Linked DNA regions of Notamacropus eugenii. The protein of the gene in region 1 interacts with the protein of each later gene in a biochemical or structural test. Links are inferred from orthologs where the notes say so. Each region holds a gene or a part of one and is shown on either strand. Other genes may lie near its edges.

The links.
Region 2: the proteins of KIT (region 1) and KITLG form a complex in vitro, tested with the Homo sapiens proteins (3 studies listed by BioGRID and IntAct, with this or other methods). The link is inferred for Notamacropus eugenii from reciprocal best matches to the Homo sapiens genes KIT and KITLG.

The regions. Positions count from the first base shown.
Region 1 is NC_092877.1:106,134,061-106,141,481, reverse strand, and holds the start of KIT (mast/stem cell growth factor receptor Kit), read right to left. Parts: upstream 3,028-7,421; 5' UTR 2,899-3,027; coding exon 2,835-2,898; intron 1-2,834. UniProt on the Homo sapiens protein: Tyrosine-protein kinase that acts as a cell-surface receptor for the cytokine KITLG/SCF and plays an essential role in the regulation of cell survival and proliferation, hematopoiesis, stem cell maintenance, gametogenesis, mast cell development, migration and function, and in melanogenesis.
Region 2 is NC_092874.1:270,541,440-270,549,267, reverse strand, and holds the start of KITLG (kit ligand), read left to right. Parts: upstream 1-4,791; 5' UTR 4,792-5,241; coding exon 5,242-5,256; intron 5,257-7,828. UniProt on the Homo sapiens protein: Ligand for the receptor-type protein-tyrosine kinase KIT. Plays an essential role in the regulation of cell survival and proliferation, hematopoiesis, stem cell maintenance, gametogenesis, mast cell development, migration and function, and in melanogenesis.

The DNA.
Region 1 (7,421 bases):
CTTTGTTTTGTTTTAAATTTCTAAGAAAACTTCTAAGAAATGTACCCTCCCATTTTCTGGGAGGGAATTATGTTGTTTTGGGAATTATGTTAGGCACAAATATAAAATTGGGCAAAATGAAATTTAAGGCAAAGGTAGACCGACAGACTTTAGTTCGAATATAACAAACACTGTATCCAAATCTAATGCAAGAAGAATTTTAGGATCCAGTATATGTAAGGAACAAAGCTGGGCTGAAATGACAAAAAGCCCCTGACCTCAAGAAACATATTCTAATTGGAATGCAAGAGATTCTAAGGAAAAGAATGGGGGAGTAGAAAGGGAGAGGTGTAGAATGGAGTTAGGTAAACTGTCTTCCTTTTTCATATCCATCATGTTTTCAGCAGTCCCAGAATATCTTCTGTCCTCTGTCTCTGGATGGTTCTTGCCCAACACCGCAGCAGCGGCAGGAAGAGGGACCTTATGATTCACTGCTGCTGCTGGCAGTTTCATCCTGCTTCTGACATTAATTCGGGTAGAAAGCTGCATCAATGCACACACACACACAGAGACAGAGACACACACACACACACACACACACACACACACACACACACACACACACACACACACACACACACACACACACACTTTTCTTACCACCTAAAGGAAAGAACACCAGGAGATCCAACCCTGCAGGGAGAGAGGCTGGAGTAGAGTTGGGAGTCTGAGGCACCAGGTAAAAAATTGGGGGGGGGGGGCCTCTGTATACATCAAGTGTATCAGAGGACATACATTAGTTCTGAGCCCAGGTGACGAAGAGAGGCTGGAAAAAAAAATTCGCTATGCAAAAAAGTATATTGAAAGAGGCAAAGTATCAAGCAGGAGAGGAAATTGACTTCACAGAGGACCCCAAATAGACACTGTTCTGGCTTGGCTGGCTGTCAGCAGAGCTCTGCTGAGATCTAGCTGTCCTCTCCAAGGGCACCGAGGGGGCTCAACTGCTAAGGCTAGATGCTCCGAATGCGTCAGGGAACCCAGTCCGGCGTTTCCATCCCAGTCCAGATGAGGACAAGAGTCCGGAGCGCCGAGGTCTCTCCTCCCCCCACAGGAAAAGCTTTACAATGCCGAAAAACAAACATCTGAGCGGGCACGCTAAGCTTTTACAAGTTGCAGGGAAACTCCGACCCAGTGCCTCTGGTGTTTTCATTCATTCCCACAATAGCGAGTAAATGGCTGAATTCCCTTTTCCTGACCTCAGTCAGATCGGAGGGGGCAGCAAAGCTTTCCATTCACCCTCACACACTAAAAGCCCACGTTTAGCTCTTTTATTTTCATCTTTCAGGTTGCACAAAGGGAATGGAAGCAAAACTCCCTCCTCTCCCGGGAGGTGGTGGAATATAGGTGAGGAATGCCTCATTTATCACGGTCAGGAATGGTCAACATATGTTACTTAGCTGTTACCTTCTTTGTTGGAGAAGGAATGGGTTTTTTTGAGCATTTTTTTAAAGGACACTCTTAAGAACTAGGGTCCTAAGGACCATTTACCACCAGACGGCCACCCAATGCGGGGAGAGGCAGGGAGAGGATGGTGCAGATTAGCAGGCGCTCCATAGATATTTGCAGCATCGAGGGATCAAGGTTCCCTCCAAGTTCCAAACCGCTGCCTGTCGGTGCATGGGGACTTTCCTAGAATCCGCCTTTAATACTAGATCAAAATGTGCTTTTTGGCGTCTCCTCCTACTATCCCACTTGCTGCGCGCCAGTTTCCCTCTTGGGAATCCCTAGATATCCTAAGAATCCAGGGGGCCGAGGAGGCACCGGCCGCAGGTCCCTCCCGCAGCCCAGCGCCGGTGCCTCGTCCTTCCACTGGGAGCGCGCGCCGCTTTAAGTTGGGGAGCGCACCGGGTAAATGGCTCAGCGCCTTCCCTCCTCCCGCGCGGGAGCCAAAGCGCAGGACCCAGCGGCCCCCTCCCACCGCGTCTGGAAGGAGGAAAGGCGGGAGGGATGAATGAGCCTTGCAGCCACCCCAGCAAGGAAGTGGGACGGGATTATTATTATTTTTAAGTCTGCAGCCTCCTTTATGGACACCTCTGGCCGCAGGATGTGCAGCCCCAGACCCGCACGCTGCGGGTTCCCAAGGTTAAACACCAAAGGAGCGTGCAGTTCATTTCCAAAGGCCAGAAGAGGGGGACGGTCCGGAGGTACGCCGGCCACCGCGGTGGGTGACTGCAGGAACCAAAGGGTCTGCCTCAGTCCGTCCCCTGTCCTTCCACACCCGCGTTCCCCCGGCACAAAGGGTGCCCGAGGCTTTGCACAGCAGGCAGAGGCGGCTGGAGGCCAGGAAAGAGCCCAGGAGGGCCAACTTTCCCTTTCCACCGAGCCCAGAACCTGCTGGACTCGGACGCGCCGGCCGCAGACAACTTTCAACAAAAGGAAGCTGCGGCCGAACGCCTTCCAACGTGGAGAGCTCCAGTTTCACGATCCATCCCCCGGCCCTCCGCACCCACGAGCTCCACACAAAAGAAATCCAAAGGCACCCCCGCGTCCGTCCCCCGCAGCCCCCTCTGGCCCAGACTCACTCCCGGTGGCTCCCTCTCAGCTCCACCCGGCCCAAACGCTTTGTTTCTGCCCAAGGGAGCAGGTACACCCTCCTAAGCGCAAGTAAAAGGCTCGGGAAACCCAAAGGGAAGTCTCATGCGTGCCTACCCCTCCAGAGCCCTCCGGACCCGGGGCGCACGAGAACCGCCAGGACCTTCACACGCTCCCCCGGAGCACAGGTTTTGCAAGGTGGATAACATTCCCAGGAAAAATAAGAGGGGGCAGAAGGTGCGTGTAGGTAGCAGCTAACCCACCTGTCTGAAAGCTCAGCAGAATCAGGAGACCCAGCAAATCCCAGGCACCAGGAGCCCCGCTCATCCTGCAGCTGCTCGGGGTCGGAGCTCAGCTCCGCGGTCCTCCTGCAGTCCAAATGCACCCAGCGCGGCACACCAGCGAAGCCCCCGGAGCTGGGAGCCGGGCGAGCAGAGGATAGCCAAGGAGAGCAGCCCCTCCTCCAGCGCCCTCCCCCTGCGCGGCGGCCACGCCCCTCCTGGCTCCCCTCCTCTCCCTCTCCCTCTCTCTCTTCCTCTGGCTCTCTCCCACTTCTAACCCCTGCCAGCCCCCCGCTCGGCTCCCTCTCTCTAGACGTGCGCACTCCCGATCCGGGAGGAGGTCACGATTGGACACCTTCTCCCGCCCCCTTCCAGTCCTCCGGAGCCGCCTTCACCTTTCCTCGGCTGGGCTGTGGTCTGGACGCCGGAGGTGTTTACCGGACTAGGACTGCCTTGCCCGAGTGCTTGGTGAAGCCATTGCCCTGCCCGGCACCACCTGCTAATGAGCCATCGGGGCGGGTGCCTCCACCTGGCAGGTGCTCACTCAGACAATAAGGCTGCTAGGCGCCCGGGCTAGGGACCTGTTCTGGGCTCAGCCCCTGACCAGAATCCCAAACTGACCACTGCAGTTCTCTGCCAGTTCAAGTCATCCGAGGAGGAGGAGGCTGGGAGCCAAACCTTATCTACACTTCCAGTGCCAAGCACAATGGTTGAGAGGGCAAGGCGCTCGATTTAAAATTTAAAAAAAACAAACAAACAACTGATGTTAATTTTCTCCAACTGTATTGTTGGAGGGAAAATGTTCGCTTCTAAACTCGAGGGCTTAACTCTAGCCCGGGAAGCCCCTGCGCTACACTGAGGGCTACGTTTCCGAGATTGGAGTGGGAAAAGGGATTTTTGTAAAGTGTGGGGAGAAGAGAGGATTAAAATGATTGCTCCAAGCCATCCTGAACCCCCTCTTCTTCTGTTGTCTTGTTTCTTAACCCCTTCACAATGGTCACTGTTCCCTATTGACAAAGAGGACCATGCCCATTTCTACGGTCTTTTCAGCATTTTCTCCCACCTTTCAGACTTGAGAGAACAGTACGATTATAATGAGGGAGGCTGGAGGGCTTCTAGCACCTTCCTGTCTATGGACCTTCCAATTCAGGCAAAAATTATCCCACATCCCACGTCCACAATCTCAGGGGATAGTAAGTAAGTGTAGAGAAAGAATGCCCAGACACTCAAATGGGTCAGTGATCTCTCCCTAATGAGGTGCAAATCTCAACTCATTCATGCCTGCTCACCCTCCTCACCTCTTTTCTTCCCATAAATTTGCTACAGAAGTCCAGTCAACATGGGGGGGTTAGGGTGAAAGTTAGGTTAAGGTTTAGGATTAGTGTTATAACATATGCATACATATTTGGTAATTTAGCAAGAACAGAAAGAAAAGAAAACCCATGTATATAATATGTGACTATCTAGAAGGGTCCTAACTGTAAATACCCAGGTTCTAAAATAATGCATTTTTGAACCTAGAATGATTTAACTGATGATCAATTAAAAAACAAAACTTCTTTCTCCCAGAGGAGCACTAGATTAAAGCTGGCTTCATTTAGATGAAGAACCTGCTGCCCATAAAGGTTAGGATTACAAAGGCAGTCAAATCAATAACATTAATTAAGATCTTACTGTGTACAGGGAAGTAAAGTAAGAGCTAGGATTCTAACGCAGGTCCTAGGATCTCCTCCTATAAAATAAGCAGATCTAGTAACCAAATTTGAAAAAAACAGCAAAAATGAAATAACATTTTCTGTTTTGTACATTTTTTTTTCTCTCAAGATGACAGAAAGGCTCGAAGCAATCATGAGTTCCTGGGACCTTGATTTATTTTTTTAAATCCTTCCAGTTTAGGTATGACATGTAGTGGGAGAGGAAAGATAGATGCAAGTTAAAATATCAATATTATGCCTGAGAATAAAAGAAATAAGTTGCAATTTTCTTTCTCCATCAGCTGATGCTGGAGGGAGAGTGAGTAAGTAAGCGAGACATTGCAATCAAGTTCCTGGCAGGACCCTTCTAGCAGAAAAATTCTCAACATGGGCATTATGCAAGGCTGAACTGCTGCCTATCTGACTCACTTTTAATTTGTTCTTTTTATCTGCTTAGCCGGGTGAGGGTTTCTGAGGCACGATCACAACAGATTATAGTCACTTCTCTACACCTGCACCAAGAAATCTGCTAGAATATGCAAATGTCTTGAAGAACACATATACATAAAATTCATAAAATGGGAAATTCTGAGCAAACTACATAAAAATGAGAAACGTGGAGGTATTCATGTATAGGATGTTCTTAAGAATTATTTGCATAATTTTATAATCCAAACTTTTATATCTACCTATTCCAGGAGCCACAAAAATAATAAAATAATTAAACTGATATTTATATGGCATCTGAAAATTTGCAAAAAAAAAAAAGTTTACACCTATTATTTCATTTGAGCCTTGCAACAACCCTGTGAGGTAAGGTGTACAGGTATTATTATTATTGGGATGGAGGAAACTCAGGCTTAGAGAAATTACTTTCCCATGATCACCTGAGGTATTACAGAAAATTAATCTATTATAAATGAAGTCAAATTAAATATGAGGCTGGGTAAACCAAGACATATAATCTGGTTAATCCAAGATGAAAGGCATATACAGATAATTAAAGCAGTGAAACTGACATTTGGGTGTGATCAGTCACAGGTATCACTACTATATAGATATACTTGTATTTTACCTTTTCCCTCCCTTGGACTTCAGCCCGCGTCATTCTTGTCACAGATCATAGGATCATAGATTTACATCTATAAGAAACTTTAGATAACTCATCAGTCCTGCACTTAATTTAGTGGTAGATCTGGTCACTTTTATAAAGCATATTTCAGTATATTTGCATCACAAAGCTAAAATGAATGGAGAGGTTCTTTGCATTATATAACATATCTGATGAAGTCAATTTGGTTAGGTTTTTGGGGGTTGGTTTTTTTGGTCAGTTAGTTGTGTCGGACTCTTCATGACCCCATTTGAGGCTTTCCCAGCAAAGATACAGGAGTGGTTTTCCATTTCCTTCTCCAGCTTGTTGTACAGATGAGGAAACTGAGGCAAACAGGATTAAGTGACTTGCCCAGGGTCACACAGGTAGCAAGTATCGGAGGCCAATCTTGAATTCAGGTCGTCCTGACTCCAGAGTTGGCAACAAATATATGTTCATGAATTATAAGATCATAGAATGCTAAAAGGGACTTCAAAGGCCATCCAATACAACTCAATTTACTCAATTTCACCTCCTATGGGCAAGATATTATACTGGGCACTATTTGCCTAATATAAAGAATAATTTATAATAAAGGATAATTTCCTGACTTCAAGGAGCCATGATCATATATGATCATAGCTACAGAGTTGAAAGGAACCTTAGTGATTCCCCAGTTCAACCCCATCATTTAACAGATAAGGAAAACAAGGCACAGAGAGATTTTTGCCCAGTCATGCAGGTACTAAATGGCAAAGCAAGGATGGCAATCCTGGTTGTTTGGCTACAAACACAATCTTCTTATCTTCCATTGACATAGATTATAACCACTCCAATACTTCAGGAGTGAATTATCTCCATGGATTTCTGTGGCCAAAGAAAACCCATCCCTAGTAGCCAAACTCCTGGTGATGTGCTAGGCTTATAGGATAGGTCCTTGAGGACAAGTCATTACTAGGCCCAGATCTGAAGCTAGTCCAACCTGCCAGACCTCCTTGAGGTTGTGGTCTGTTGGAATAGCCTTCAAGGATCCAGGATAACCTATGAAACTTTGGAATAAGACTTTAATCAAAGATCTTGTGTGTGTGTGTGTGTGTGTGTGTGTGTGTGTGTGTGTGTGTGTGGTGTGTGCATCATGCGCCAGCCTGGCAATCTAGTGACACCTAAGGACTTCACTGAATAATGTTTTTAAATAAATGAAGGAAATAATAAATTTCAGTTAGATGTTAGTAAAAATAAAGATAATTTTTTTCTCCCATCCAAGTTCATAGAGTCCCTGAAATCTATCATCAGACACTCATGATCTGTGAATCTCAGACCTTTAAAATCCCCTAACTTAAAGCATTGCCTCTTATCGAAAGTCTAGTAATTATCTCAACTGTAGTCCTATTCAGATACATCACTGTGGTTCAGGACTGACCTGGGTTCTTGAAAGTTATGCCAAGTGAGCAGGAAAGAAAGTTGTTCAAACATGCCTGACTCTGGTGAGGGCTAGAAAGGTACAGGAACCCCAAGACTGGAGTTCAGTTTGTTGGTCATCTTGAAAGAATTCATGGACTCAAGCATTCTAAAGGTCAAGGTGGTAAAAATTTATTACACTTTTCAGGGGGTAAGAGTTCTTCGGGAACCTGAGACCTTAGAGGGGTACAATTAAAGTTTATATAGGATTTTCTATAGTAAAACATAGGCCAAACGTGCTCACTAGGTGATTCAGGGTGGGATTAGGGAGTGTTTAGTTCTTAAAGGAACATGTACTTTTAGGATCTACAGCACAGGTATTTTACC
Region 2 (7,828 bases), on another chromosome or scaffold:
TTTGAGGAATCACACTTCAGGAAGGTTATTAACTAGATCAGGACCAGATGAGGGTAATTTAGATGGAGAGAGAAATTAGCAGATATGTCAAATTTGAAATAGTTAAAGAAGCTGGGGAAATATAGCTTGCAGAATCAATGGCTTGGTGGTAGTATGTGAATGTATGTGGAAAGGTGATGTTTAAAGACTGTGCAACAGAATAGGAATAGCTGTCTTGTGGGAAAAAGAGATTAAATTTATTCTATGTAATCAATCAATCAACAAGCATTCATGAAGCACCTTCTATGTTCCAGATACTGTCCTAGATATGTAATATAAAGATAAAAGTAAAATAATCTTTGCCCTCAAGTATTTTATCTTCTGGGTCAGCTTGGTGGTACAGTGGATAGTGTTGGGCTCAGAGTCAGGAAGACATGTGTTCAAATCCAGCCTAATTTACTAGCTGTGTGGCCCTGGGCAAGTCACTTAATCCTCTTTGCCTCGGTTTCCTCTTGTGTAAAATGAACTGGAGAAGGAAATGGCAAACCACTCCAGTATCTCTGCCAAGAAAATTCCCAAATGGGGGTCACAAAAGTTAGTCATGACTGAACAGCAACCACCTTACATTCTGGGGAGGAAGGAAACAGGTTGACAGATAGGTAAATACAGGATAGGTTATATATGAAATAAATGCACAGTGATTGGAAGGAGGTCATTAACAACTAGGAGAATCAGAAAAGACCTCTTAAAGGAAATGGCACTTGAGTAAAACCTTGAAGGGAGCCTGGGATTTGAAGAAGTGAGTGGGGAAGGCATTCCACATATCCGATATAGGTTGTACAAATACTTGGAGGGGTAGGATGAAAGACTTTGTAGGATTGGTAAGAGCTTTAAATATCCAAATGAAGAATTTGTATCTTACCCTCAGGACAATGGAGGGCCACAGATGCCTTTATGAACAGAGTAGAGTGGTAAGGGGAGAGAGAGAGAGAGAGAGAGAGAGAGAGAGAGAGAGAGAGAGAAAGAGAGAGAGAGAGAGAGAGACATAGAGGGAGACAGAGAAGAGAAGAGAGAGATGGGAAAGAGGGGAGAGAGACACAGAGGAGAGAAAGAAGAAAAAAGAGGAGGGAAAAAGAGAGAGAGAGAGAGAGAGAGGGAAGGAGATGAGAAAGAGAAAGAAAAGAGACAGAGGAGAAAGAGGAGGCGAGAAAAGACAGAGAGAGGAAAGAAGAGGAGAGGGGAAGACTGAGGGAAGGAGAGAGGGAGAAGGGGGAAGGGGGGTTCATTCTCAAAGGTTAGATTGGAGGACTCAGAAAAATAGCCACATTTTTTAATGTCTTCCCATTTTCTAATTACCACAGTGATGGACTCAGACATGGCACTTTTTTGGAAAGAAGTTGATAGGGGTATTCTAGCAATGTAAACTCGAAACATATGGTACCTGGGGAGAATGATTGCATTAAGGTTGTGTTTAGCTGGCTAGCATCACCCAGATCCACACAGAAACCCCTCATCCTTCTGGGGAATTCCCTCTACTCTCTGATTTTAGAAGATAAATCCTAGGGAGTTGTCTGGGGCTCAGAGATATTAATAAACTTGTCCTGGGTCTCACAGCTGGTAAGGGACTGGGGTGAGGTCTCTGAAATCCAAAGCTTCCTGATTGCAAATCCAGTGCCCCGTTCATTTTACCATTCTACTCCTCAATTCACAATATCCAGAGGCACCTTTTCCTCCAATTTTTAAATGGGTTGAAGTACATATTCCTGAATGTCTATAAAATCCACAAAGTCTGATAAAAATAGGGATTTGGAGGGAGGTAAAGAAAAAGCAGGGGAGAGAGAGACAGGGACAGAGACAGATGGAGAGGCAGAGACAGAGAGACAAAGAGAGAAAGAGAGAGACAGAGAAGGAGAGGCAGAGATGTTGATAGACAAAAACAGAAATATACAGAGACAGAAAGAATGAGACAGGAACAAAGACGGAAAGAAACACAGAAGGCACAGAGAGGCAGAGATAGATCTACGAATACAATGAGAGAGAATCAGATACACACTGAGAGACAGAGCGGGGCAGAGACAAAGAGACAGAAATAAAGACAGAGACACACAGAGACAGAAAGACATCCATTTGAATTCAGTAATAAGACATCTCAGTCAACCTTCTGATCTATTTCTAAATTGCTTGACAATATATGCCTTTTAAACTAAAAGTTAGAGTAATCATGTAATACTCTTCCCTTTTTCCTGGAAGAATTCTTTTTGCAAACATTAATTTTCCTAACTGCGGAGCGGGAGGCATCCTTCCAGCTGGGGCAACAAAGGCGTAGAAAAATAATTGGATGAGGAACCCATAATAGCAGAGCTGAGAATTCAATTCCTCCTTTAACCTCTTTACGGGGCCTTTGAGATTTCTTTGGTTTCTTCTTGTCTGGTCCTAGCAGGTGTTCCCTAAATTCATTCTGAGTAAACAAAATATAAACCATATTAACCAGATTTTTCTAAATTGACCATGTATGAAGGGATAGAAGCCGTAGCATGCCACAGTAGAATAAGAGGCAGATTGGAAATCAGAGGACCTGGGTTCATTCTCAGCTCAAATAATTACCACCTGGATGACCTTGGGCAAATCATTTAACCTCTAGGGGTTTAATTTAATCCCTTTGAAAAATGAAGGTAGTGAGCTCTCAAAAACCTTTTTTTTTTTTTTTTGCACTTAGCACAATGTCCGTCACATAGTAGGTAATTAATAAATTCATGTTGATTGAATATCATGGATCCTTTTGTCAACCTGGTGAAATCTAAGGAACTGTTCTCATAATTATGTTTTTACATGTATAAAATAAAATACATAGAGTTATAAAGGAAACCAATTGTAATGGAAAAGTTATCAACATATATTACCAAAAAAAAGGTCAGGGAACCCAGATTAAGAACCCCTGGCCTCACTTCCCTGGTCACTTTCTTCAGAGGACTTTTCCTGATTCCCTAAAGTTAATGCCCCATGCATGATACATTTGCACTTTTTTTTCATTCTCCCAAGATTGTGAAAAGAAAGGTCAGGCCAATCAATTGATCATAAACCAGTTATCAAGCTAACAGGCATTGCTCAAAGTCTTACAATGTGTAATGCGCTGGTTTAGGGTTGGGGAAACACAGAAACGTGGTCAACAGTCCCCTCAGGGAGCGAACTTCCTAAATGGATAGACTTTTGAATACGTTGATACCCGTGGGGTACATACGGAGCAGATTGCAGGTCACCTTAAGGAGAAGGCTTTAGCAGCCGAGGGAGGCAGGGGAAGGATGTTGGGGTGGTGGGGGCAGGAAAGGGGCTTTTTTGAGCTGAGTTTTGAAGGAAGTCAGATATTTTAAGAGATGAACGTGTGAGCCAGGAACTGTAATATAAAATACCGTGTTTGAAAACTCTTTATAAGCTGACCTCTCCTACTTTTCCAGACTTCTTATAGCCTTATAACCCCTCTGTGCATTCCTGGTCCATTGAAAATGGCCTTTTTGCTGTTCCCCTCAAAAGACATTTGCGTCTCCCGATTTTCCACTGGAATCTCCCAGACCTGGGGTCCTCTGCCTCTTACCTCCCCCTCCTGGCTTCGTTCAAGTCTCTGCTAAAATCTCCCTCTCTACAAGCAATCTTTTCAGGTACCCCTCAATGCCAGAGCCTTCCCTCTGGGGACACCTCCAATTTAATCCGTATATATCGTATGTATACATAATTGTTTTCTGGTCATCTCCCCCGTGGCCTCCCCCGACTGTGAACTCAGTGTGGTTCAGGAACCTTTTTCTGTATCCTTGGCTTACCATCAAAATGTCTGTTGACTGACTTAAGGTGTTTGTGATAGAAAGACCAATGAAAGAGACTGTCCTCAAGGCTCTTACATGCCATAGGGGAGCCCTGTTCTTATGCATACAAGTATATCTAAAGTAGGTGGGATTTTTTTTTCTATTTTCAAACTCTCTGGCTGTGTAATTTCTTTCCAAATTGACGTAGATCATTTTCTGTAAGAGAACTTTTATACACCATTTTCTCCACATTCTTTAAAAAGCTAAAAAAAAAAAACAAACCTAAATTTAATATGTAAATCATCCTGACAATAAACTAAAATCCCGATAACAGCAGTCTAGAAAAGGGACAAGTTAGAAAGCCTTGGGAAGTCTGTTTCACTCTAAGTAAAATTCATTTCCTATAGTGTTAGTAATCCTGGTACTCTGACTGTCCTCGGGGCCCACTTTACTTTTACTTTTTAAAGCTTATTATTAGTAAAAGGCCGAGAGGATCTTTTGCTGGCTTTCGATGCGGAGATGGAAAGCTTTAACCCTCCGTTGAGGAAAGAGCAGGTTCCAGGAGTGGGCGAGCTGTGAACAGTGGCGTTCCTTGGAATCTTCTCTGTCCCCAAGAGGTGACAGGTGAGCCTGGGAGCCTCCCGAAGCCCGGGGGAGGGCACTGGGGGCCGAGGGCAAGGGTAGCTCCTTCTCGGCTCAGCGGCTGTCCCGGGGGGCAGCCCCAGCAGCAGCAGCAGCGGGCACCAGCTTCGCGTCCCCTTGCTTCTAACCCTTCCCGCATTCTGTTCGCGGGTAGCCTCCTTGCCAGTGCGTGCCCAAGAAAGATGGGATCGGGTTACCTTCGCTGGCAATGGGATGAGCTTGGCCTAATTTGTCCAACTTCTCTCTCACCGACTGGAGTTCTTACAGCCCTCCCACCCCTTTCCTACCCTCCTCTTCCCCCCCCCTCCCAGGGGCCTCCCCCACCCATCCACCCTCCCCTCCCATCCAGCCTCCTCTGCTCGCAGCCGCTGCGCTCGCCTTTCCAAAGCTCCCAGAGGGAAGAAGGCGTGTCCTGCCTGCCCGCCCGCCCGCCAGCCCGTCCTGCAGCTCCCGCCGCCGCTGCTGGAGGAGCAGGCTGACTGGAGCTATAAAAGCGCTGGCCCGGCGCCGGCTCCGGCTTCACTTACTGCCTCGCGCGGCGACTGGCCGGGAGCGAGCGAGAGAGCGAGCGAGCGAGCGCCGCGGGCGGGGGCGGGCGGCGAACCTGGCTGGAGCTGAGGGCGCAGCGCTCGGGGCTGCCCAATGCGTGCACAATCTGCTGCTGCCGCCGCCGCCGCTGCCCCCTCCGCTTCTCCGCAGCCGCCGCTGCCTCCGCTGCAGCTGCCGCCGCCTCCGCCGCGCCCGGAGCAATATGCTGGAGCCACAGAACAGCTAAACGGAGTTTCCCCGCCGCTGCCTGGGCTGGATTGCAGCGCTGTCGTTCCTTATGAAGAAGACACAAGTAAGTAGAGGACGCGTCCCGCGCCTCGTGCCCCCTTGGGCTGGGGACCGGGCTGGAGGGAGAGGCCGGGGGGTGTGCGTGCCCCAGGGTAGGGAGAATCTGAGCACCTCGGCTGGGATTTGGAACCCTTCCTCCCTTCCACCACCCAGGGGAAGGTGTTGGTCGTGAGAAAGAGAAGGAGCAGGAGAAGGATGGAGGTGCCGAGCTCAGGAACCCCAAGGCGAAAGACTTGGAATGTGCACAGTGCATTGAGAGCCCAAGCTCCCAGAGAGCTGAGATTGTTGCATTCTTTGCATTTGCCTCCCCAGGAATTTTCTCGGTCCCTGGCGCGTAGTAGGCACTTAATGAATGCGTGCCTGTTGACAGATCGATCGATTGATTGGAGAGCCAAGTCCCTTTTTTAAGTTTGGAAAAGAACGGGAGACTGGTTATCAGAAGAGATCTTTTTCTGAAAGGTTGGAGCTCCGGTCTCCGATCTTTCCAAAGCGACGTTAAAAGTTGGCTAGGGAAGACGTTGATTTTCCAGAGGGAAATCTCCACATGGATCCCAGCAGGTTATGAAACGAAATCCCCGCACCCCAGACAAACACATTCACACGCGCACACACTCACACGCATGCACACGCACACACACACACACATAAACACACACCACACACCTATCTTTGCACACTCCCTAAGTCTGAGCAGGTCAGAGGCGTCCTAAAGCAGTCTGCCTGCAAAGAGCAGAGCTTGTAGCGCCCCAGATTCCCTTTCTCAGACTTTTGAAATACGTTAGCCTTTTGCGGCGTAGGACCACCACCCAGCTGTGCAGTAGACCTGAAAATCGCACCCAGTGGCGAAATAACCCCTGGAAACAGCTGATTGCTCCTAGAGAAGTTTTGCTGACCTATAGGGGTGTGTGTGTGTGTGTGTGTGTGTGTGGTGTGTGGTATGTGCGTGACTGTGTCACGCTGCCCAAGAAGGCCAGGCATTACTTTTTTTTTTTTTTACCACCCCAAGAATTCCCACCCCACCTTACTACCGGGGACAGAGGGGGATGGGGTGGGGGGAGGAGAAGGAAGCCAAGGAAAAGTGTGTTCCTTAAAGCTCAGAGTTCCTGAGATTACACTGTAAAATGCTATTTAATTTTAGTCGGAGCTGTGATTGTATCTGTTAGGAAACTGCCTCCACCTATCTAGGCCCATGTGTAATTTATAGCCTCCGAGAAAGATTAAGTGATTTACTCGTGGTCAGGGAGCTAATGCGTATCAGGGCGCGGACTTGAACCTGAGGCTTCCAGGTGCCAAGGCCAACCCGCTACCAGCTTTGTTATATTGCTATGCCGTCTCTCCGCAGTCTAAGAGGACTATTAGGTTGTTAATTTGAGGTAACATTGAATAGCTGTATACTCAGCGACTAGCATAATGCCTGACACGTAGTAGGACGTTAGCAAATGTTGATTTCGTCTGTGTATAGCACCGTTGAGCTCTAAGGCTGGGTTGGTTTTTTTTTTACTTGGTAAGTGTTTAAAAGGAGTCGTCTGAGCCGGTATTTTGAAGGGCTAGAGACAGTTTGTACCACTTTGTACTCTAACTGTATCACCCCAAAGTGAAAGAACTGATATATTGGCTGTATGTTCTATAACTGCCCCCTTTTTATCTCCAGGGGTAAAACAGGCGCTTATGATTTCTGAACTGAAGGGGATGGAAGCAAAGAGGTTTATTTCCTGTTTTCAAAAAAAAATCGTTTTAAAAGTGAGAGCTGTAATAGTCCGTGAAATCTACAAAAACAATTCCTCATGTTTAAGTTACACTTGGAAAGAGATTTACCTTTGAACAGTTTGGTGTCTTCAAAATCTGCTAATTCTCAGTCTAGGGACAATACTGAGTCCATCCATTAATCCATCTAGAGGCAGTGTAGACTGGCATTCTGTATTATCTAAAGAGAAAAGGATACTTCTGAGGGGAGTAGCCCACAGACAATAGAATCATCACTTTTTTTTTTTAAATAGAGATGTAGGAAGCTTAATTTTTAATGTTCTCTTTCCTTAAAGGTAAAGTATTAAATAGTCTACTGGGTCATCTTTGGGAAGTGTTATTGAAATGTAAACGTTAGGAAAAGAAATAGGGTCTGAAGAGTTGCTTACACAGAAGAGGTTTTAAAATACGTTTATTCTCAAGCTGGGGGAGGGTGAGTCAGAGAAATTCCTTCCCAGAGTAGAAGAACCTCTTATGAATGAGAATAACATATTGCACAGACTGGTAGATCAAGATGCTTCTGATAAAGGTAAAATGGTCAAAATGTTCATATTTAAACAAAGCAGTTTGGAGATCATACATAGAACTCTGGAGGCAATCTGCTTAATCCACCCTCTACCCTCCTTCATGTTTGCTCTTCAGTCATGGCTGACTATTCATGCCCCCATTTGGGGTTTTCTTGACAAAGATACTGGAGTGTTTTTGCCATTTCCCTTTCCAGCTCATTTTATGGATGAGGAAACCAAGGCAAACAGGGTTAGGTGACTTGCCCAGAGTCACACGGCTAATAAGTCTCCAAGGCCAGATTTGAACTAAGGAAGAGGAGTCTTCTT